Macaca fascicularis: one gene and its partner. The protein of the gene in region 1 purifies or fractionates together with the protein of each later gene. This does not show direct contact. Links are inferred from orthologs where the notes say so. Each region holds a gene or a part of one and is shown on either strand. Other genes may lie near its edges.

Region 1 (3,646 bases):
CGTAGAAGCAGTGAGTAAAACAGCAATTATGGAGATGAGAGGGAAGGAGGGAAGGGAAGATGAGGAGAGGTTAGTCAGTGGGTACAAAGTTACAATTAGATAGGAGGAATAATCTCTGGTGTTCTGTTGCACAGTGGGGTGACTATGGTTAACAGTAAGGCATTCTGAGTTGGGCACTGTGGCTTGAGCCTACAATCCTAGCTACTTATAAGGCTAAGGCAGGAGGATTGCTTGAGCTCAGAAGTTCAAGACCAGCCTGGGCAACATGGTGAGATCCCATATTTAAATCAATCGATCAATCAGTAAGGTGTTGTATATTACAAAATAGCTAGAAGAGAGGCTTTTAGAGGTTCTCACCACAAAGAAATGATAAATGCATGAGGTGATGGATACACTACCCTGATTTGATCATTATACAACACATATATGTATTGAAATATCAAATTATAACCCTGAAATATGTAGTTATGAAGTATTAATTAAAAATAACAAAGAAATTTCTGGAGTACCAAAAAAAAACCAGACATTGCTTAATTATGCATGTATACTGTCTCCTTTTAATATTGTTGAATTTTTAAAATAATAATAATTTAAATATTCACATATTTTTATTATCTGTCCTTCCTTTACTGGACTTTTAGCTCCCTGGAGAGCAGATTTTGTCTCTCTTGTACACAGCTGCACCTCCAGCCCCCAGTTCGATACCCAGTACAGTAAGCACATAGTATGACCTCAATAAATATTGCCTTGTTACTGAAGCCATAGACATTAGCCTCTGATGTCTGTGATGAGGATGGAGGGGCTGGTAAAGAAGAGAGAAAAGCAAAGTTGACTGAAGACTCCAATCCTGAATTCCCAGAAGAGCACTACGGCCATTCCTTCAAATGGAAATTCAGGAGCTCCTGGAGAAGGCTGGGAAGATGAGCTCAGAAACATGTATGCTGAATGTGAGGTCCAAGGGCTAAACAGAGGTAGGATATCTAGCGGGCTGTTAATGAGATGGGCTCAAGCAAGTCATTCATTGGCCCAGCAAATGTTTAACAAGCTCACAATATATCAGGTCAGGGGCTGAGGATATAAAGTTAAATGAAACAGGGTCTCTGCCCCCCAGGAATTCAGAGACGAGTGGGCCAGAGATGGCAACTTTGGAGACGTTTTCATGGAGGTGCCCATGGCCTCTAGATATAGCTAAAGCTGCCAAGAGGAGAGCATGTGGCAAAGACAGAAGGCAATCTGTCAGAGCAGTGACAAATAGAATGCCAAAGATAGCACATAAGTGCTCAGGAAATAGGAGTGAGTGATAAATAAACAAAGGAACAAATAAAAGGCCCCCATGCTTTTGTTCACACTACTCCCTCTGCCCAGCATATCTTTCACCTGATTCTTTACCTAACATCTATTTGTCATTTCTAGAAGCTTCCTCTCATCCTTCAAATCTGGGCAAGGTAGTCATTCTGCATGTTCCCGTAACACCTATACTTCACAATGTGCACTTACCAGCTGGGGATGCCCTTCCCCGTCTGTTTGTCTATCCCTCTAGCTTATAAGCAACCTGAGGGCAATGACCCTGTCTTTTTTTTAACTTTATCTTCCTTTCCAGGTCCAGGCTGGTACTCAATACAAGGTTGCTAGATGGATGGATGGATGGATGGATGGATGGATGGATGGATGGATGGATGGATGGATGGATAGATGGATAGATGGATAAATAGATAAACAGAAAGGTAGGCAGATGGATGAACAGGTACATGGACAGAACAATTTAGAACTCTCACCCTTACCAAAGGTGTTGAATGAGAGTAAAATAAAAAATAAATAAAACTAATTAATTAAAAATGAAAGAAAAAAAAGAACTCTCACCTTGGGACCAAGACCTTCAGATGATTACACAGAGATTGAATATACCAGCTGCCTTCCTCCACATGCCGAAAGGATACATAGCCTGGGACAGTGGCCAGACCAAGTAGGAAGTCAGCCTCGACGGGAATACTGTCCTGCAGGGAAGTGGGTGCCTGCTCAGGGTTCAGAGCATCTGCTTCGATGGATTTGGAAAGCTGTATCTTTTCACCTTGGCAGGCCTGGATGAAAAAGAGTTTAGGTTTTTCAGCCAGTCCAGGGCACTGCAGGGCTGTGAAGTGAGACATGATTTCCCGAATGGGAATGAGGGCCTCATCCGAAGAGTAGACAGCTCCGTCTTCCCCATGGGTCAGAATACAGAACACGAAGCAGTCCCCGTCGGCATGGGCTGGATTGCACTTCTCCTTCTGCAGGACCTCCTCCATTTCCCCTTTCGTCACATTATTGTATATATGCACTGTGAACCCAAGCCACTGGAACACACCCTTCAGGATCTCTGTTTAAAAAAGAAAAAAAAAAGGAGAGAGAGAGAGAGAAAGGGGAAATAAAAAAATGATGCAAAACAAAAGGAAGAACTTAAACAAGGCCGGGTGCAGTGGCTCACACCTGTAATCTCAGCACTTTGGAAGGCCGAGGCAGGTGGATCACTTGAGGTCAGGAGTTTGAGACCAGTCTGGCCAACATAGCAAAACACCATCTCTACTAAAAATACAAAAATTAGCCAGGTGTGGTGGCTCACGCCTGTAATCCCTGCTACTCGGGAGGCTAAGGCATGAGAATGGCTTGAGCCTGGGAGGCAGTGGTTGCAGTGAGCTGCAACTACACCACTGCACTCCAGCCTGGGCAACAGAGCAAGACTATGTCTCCAAAAAAAAAAAATGAAATGATGCTAATAGTTACAAAAATTGCACAGCAAATAGCCTAAAGCTTTGGATTATTTTTATTTTCATAACCATAAAATCTTACAATGAATCTCCTATCATGTAATACCCAGTGTTGTCACAACAGTCCTGAGAATTGGCAGTGGCCAGTGTTTCATTTCATCTGTTTCACAGTTGAAGAAGCTGAGGTCTCTTGACTCTCCCATGATCACACACCTAGTTAGTGGTGGAGTTGGAGCTCACACCCAGGTTGTCTCGTGCCAGTCCAGCATGCTCTCCCCCAGTACACGCTCTCCTCTATTCAGAATTGTGAATAGTCAAAGACTCTTGCTACTCTTTAGCAGACTGGGTGATGCCCCAGGGATATACAAGAGGCTCAGAAACATAATAATCATCCTTACACATATATGGAAAATAAAAGTCACAGAAAAAAATGTGAAAATAAAAAATAATTTTAAGATCCCCAATTTGCACTTGATAAACTATGCTAGACTTTCTTACCAGCATCTTTATGGGTTCCTCGTCTGTCCCGCAGGGAGATAAAGCTGTGGTTGTTGACAATGACACAGAGGCCTCTGTGGTTCCGATCCATCCTGTACGTAGGTGCCCACTTGAAGAACAGATAGAGCCACTTAGTAGGAATCCTCGTCTTAGGGCCTTAAATGTTTCTAACCAACTATACCAATGGGTCCACTGTGAGGAAGAGCAGGATGTATCTCTCCATGCCAGTTGTTTAAACCATGTTTGTTGTTGTTGTTGTTGTTGTTGTTTTGCAACAGAGTCTCACTCTTATTGCCCAGGCTGGAGTGCAGTGACACGATCTCGGCTCACTGCAACCTCTGCTCCCAGATTCAAGGGATCCACCTGCCTCAGGTGCCCACCAACACCCCCAGATAATTTTTTATTTT
Region 2 (4,257 bases), on another chromosome or scaffold:
AAACTAATGTTTAAACAGCACTTTTCTTTCAAATCTTTGTCAGTCTGGGTTTTTGTTAACTTTACTAATTTGATGAAAATTGGTGTTCCCTATTTTTAGTTTGCATCTCTTTTCTTATTAGTAAAGTTACTGATTTGATTTCCTTGTGATAATTTAACAATTTCTGGTTCATCTGGGTTGATCTAGAGAAGATAATTGCTTACTGGGGTAGATGGACATGACTCGTCTGGTCATTTGATTTTTAATCACTAAATTGACTCCAGAGAGGAGGTAAAAGATGAATGCTTAGGTACCTATCAGACCAGGCACATTCCACAGGTTTTCAAAATGATCTTATTTGAGACATCCTCCAGAGGCTTTATTTTTCTAGCAAATATTTCCACTCTGCTTGTGTACATATGGACTTTCTAACATTTAAGGATTAGGACACAGACTCAGGGGCCAGAGCTTCCCAACAGTGGCTCCTATAAGAACTTAACAGTCTAGGACAGTAGACAGGCGACTGGGTTGCCTGCAGTAGCCACATCCAGAGAAACTGAAACTTACTTCACTTAATAGATGGCCAGTGCTGCCTTCTTCTTTATTCTGAGTTTCTAAGGATGCGATCTATCTATAGTCTTTGCAGAGGTATCCTGCTTTTCCTCTATTTCTCACTCCATGCTCACTACAGAGAGACAGGAGTTTCCCTACTTCATGAGGCACCAGTCCAGTACCGGAAAGCCCTGTAGGTGACAAGGCATCAAGAGCCTGTGTTCCTTCTAGCCCCAGTTCCATACTAGGGGTCTTGGGCATATTCACCTAATCTGTCTGGCATTTTGTTTCTCTTCCAAAAAAATGAAATGGCTGGACTAGATATTCTAAGCTTCCTTCCAACTCTAAACCTTCAGTGAATCTCATTGTAAATCTAAATCTAAAATTTCAATGAATCTTAGGCTAGTGAAGCACATTGTAAAATCCATCTGTACAGAGCTTGCAAAACTATGCCCTGAAATTTCACGAGATCAGTGTTCCAACATATCGTCTTCTTGCCCTAGCTCCCATACAAAGGATTTTCCTTTGTGATCAAGGGTACCTCATGACTGCCTCTGAAGCTGAACATCCTTTGAATGATGGCTGAAGTCTTCCCTTCAGCTTCTCAGTGACTTCAAGAAAAACCATTCTAATGTACGGAATTGATTAGCCACATTTTAAAAGCTTACATCCTATAAAACATTTTATAAATAAAGTTTCACTGTGATCTCTTTAGAGGCTTTAAAAGAGGAGAGGACGTTTCTCAGAAACATCTGTCTCTGCCTTCACTTCGCCTTCTCTTCCCAGAAGTCATAGCCACTGGCATGTGTGCCAGGACCAGGGTGTCTGTGGAAGGGGACAGGCCTGGAACCACTGCTCAGGGGGCAAAAGTCCACGGTTGTATATGTGTGTCTCTTTCCAAAGTCAAGCGGAAGTGATTTTGAATTGTGTGCCGTGCTCAGCTATATTGATTGTGAGCAATTCAATTCACTTCACATTTTTAAAGCAGCTCAAGGAATCATACTGACCAGAGATTCCGAATTAGCCAGGATTCCTCTCATAGTATACATAAGCCAAAGTGTAGGACAGAATATAAGGCATTCCATTAACATATTTCAGTGCTGAGGATCACCTTTAGGAACTCAATGTACATGTGAAAAAGGACTCACCTATTTGCTTCTCCAAAGATGATGCTGTATGCTTCTGGCTGGTAGACTAGTAAAAGAGAAAGAAAAAAGATGCATAATAAAAATAAAATTATTTAAGCAAAAGAGACAGAATCGTCAAATAAACCAAGCCCTGGAAAGAGAATCCAAATACCTCAGAACTTTTGCTGACTCAGGCTTTGGTCAAGCAATTTTGCTTCACTGTCCCTCAGTTTTGTGATTTGAAATCGTACCAGTATTTTAAGTATTTTCAAGATTTAGTTTGGTCATCTGAACAAATTTACTTCCAAGCAAAACTTAAAAGTTTTGTTTGTTTTTTACTCCTTAAATCACTAGGTATGAGGCAGTAAGTGGTTCAACAGACTGAGTTGACAACTGAGGAAAGAAAAACTGTTGGGCTCTGATTCTTTACAAAATAAAAAATATTCCCTTCACTCCTATGAGCCTCCATTTCTCTGCCTATAGAATAGAATAACTAGAACAACCCATTTCTAAGAAAAAAAAAAAAGGATTGAAAAGCACTTTGCAAGCCAGGCAGTGGGCCCTCCACCCCCTTATGCCTGGTGCCTCCAGGGCACAGCAGTCTGCCAGCAGGCTTACCTCTCGGAGTTCTGCCAGCTCTTTCTGTAAGTGGAAGAGCTGAAACATCCCCAGTCCCAATCCTACCAAGGCAACCAGAACCATGAAAAACATCACAAGGAGACAAAGGCCTGTGCTGTGGTTTCCCCTCTTCTTCAAGGGTGGCAGCGGTAGTGGAGGCAGTGGTGATGGCGGTGGAGGTGGTAGTGGCGGCGGTGGCGGCGGTGGTGGTGGCCTCCTTTGACCAGGCCTTCTGGGCACAGAGGTTGGACAGGGAAGAACTGTGCCTGGAGGGGCCCAGGGAGAGCTGGCACTGCTGTCCACCCAGTAGATCTGGGGATATGGGTAATTGAAGGGCTGCTGCATGGCAGCCGGTGAGTCAGGCCAGCCCCAGCAAACGGTTTTACTTCTCAATCCTGTAGAGGCTGAGGTGTCAAGGACAGGACTCCTGTTGCTGACTGCTCAAGAGGAGGCAAGCTGGATCTCTCTTATAGAGTTTCCATAGCTAAGGGAAACACCTCTGTCTTTCTCTTTCTCTATGTCTCTCTCTGATTCTGCTTCTCAAAGAAACACCCACTCACTTTGCAGCTGAAGCTGAGAAGCCTCAAGAAGCTCAGAGCAAACCCCTGGAAGTTTCCGCCCACAATCTTCTGACGAAAGCCTTGGAAGCCTCAGTTGCTATCGCTGTACTACCCAAACAGGTTGGTAGGCTATGCTCACCTTCCTGGGATCCTGTAGAGCAGGTCAGCATTGGGGTAGAGCCCTGTTGGCGTGAACTGCTCCCAGCTACAGGAGAATGGCCAGTGGGGCTATAATTTTATGAATTATAATTGTATCCTTTTTTATACATTATAATTGTATAATGTTAAGAATTCTACCATGTATACGACCAAAAAACTATTTAAAAATACCAAAATACCTCTAACAAAAATTGTTCAGAACCATATTTTTTAAACTATAAAAATTTTACTGAAATTGGCTCTGAGGGGAGAGACCATGGAGCCATGGCCAGAGAAGTCACTCCCACATTTTAGTTTTTGCAGGAGGAAAACACCTGTTGCCATCATCGCTTCCCCACACACAACTACCATTTACCCTGACCTGCCAATCACCATAATTTACAGGTTAAAAAACCTGCTACACCCTCTTTAGAAATTAGATCAGAGGCTGCAAACAGTGGAACCCACAGAACTGCTTTGTATTTCACAATGTTTTCATTTTCATTGTTTGCCCAGCTTATTTATTTACGTATTTATTTAAATAGAGACAGAGTCTCACTCTGTCACCCAAGCTGGAGTGGAGTGGTGCTATCATAGTTAACTGCAGCCTCAAACTCCTGGGCTCAAGCAATCCTCTTGCCTTGGCCTCCTAAGTAGCTGGGATTATAGGCATGAGTCACTACACCTGACTAATTTATTTATTTATTTATTTTTGTAGAGATGGGGACTCGCTATGTTGCCCAGGCTTGTCTCAAACTCCTAGCTTCAAGACATCCTCCCACCTCAGTTTCCCAAAGTGCTGGAATTACAGTCATGAGCCACTGCACTCAGCCCAATTGACCACTTTTAATATCAATATTAAAAATATTTTAATATATATACATTTTAAATACACATTAAAATACATATTTTTGTTCTGTTTTGCAATATCAGAATATCAGACACCCTCGAGGCCATCTCTGCAAACCCAATCAGTGGGAAGTAGGTAGCAGCTGCTCCTGAGAATGAGCGACAGGTGTTCTGGGTCACCCAGCCTCCGCCAGCGGCCTGTGTCTCACACATCACCTCACCATCTGAAAGGCCTGCCTGGTCCTTGCCGATATTTCTGTGTCCTGTCCCTGTTATGGTTGCCAGATTAAATACATGGTGCCCAGTTAAATTTGAATTTCAGATAAATAATACATAATTTTTAGGACGAGTATGTCTTAAACACGTCCAAACATGGAATACACTAAACAATTATTCATCATATAACTGACATTCAAATTTAACTCTGTGTCCTA

The links. Proteins that work in one complex are often made in the same cells at the same time.
Region 2: the proteins of CASP10 (region 1) and FASLG purify together in Homo sapiens (co-immunoprecipitation; 3 studies listed by BioGRID and IntAct, with this or other methods). This does not show direct contact. The link is inferred for Macaca fascicularis from reciprocal best matches to the Homo sapiens genes CASP10 and FASLG.

The regions. Positions count from the first base shown.
Region 1 is NC_088386.1:96,978,619-96,982,264, reverse strand, and holds part of CASP10 (caspase-10), read right to left. Parts: intron 3,349-3,646; coding exon 3,240-3,348; intron 2,354-3,239; coding exon 1,861-2,353; intron 1-1,860. UniProt on the Homo sapiens protein: Involved in the activation cascade of caspases responsible for apoptosis execution. Recruited to both Fas- and TNFR-1 receptors in a FADD dependent manner. May participate in the granzyme B apoptotic pathways.
Region 2 is NC_088375.1:30,264,097-30,268,353, reverse strand, and holds the start of FASLG (tumor necrosis factor ligand superfamily member 6), read right to left. Parts: upstream 2,842-4,257; 5' UTR 2,622-2,841; coding exon 2,277-2,621; intron 1,726-2,276; coding exon 1,680-1,725; intron 1-1,679. UniProt on the Homo sapiens protein: Cytokine that binds to TNFRSF6/FAS, a receptor that transduces the apoptotic signal into cells. Involved in cytotoxic T-cell-mediated apoptosis, natural killer cell-mediated apoptosis and in T-cell development.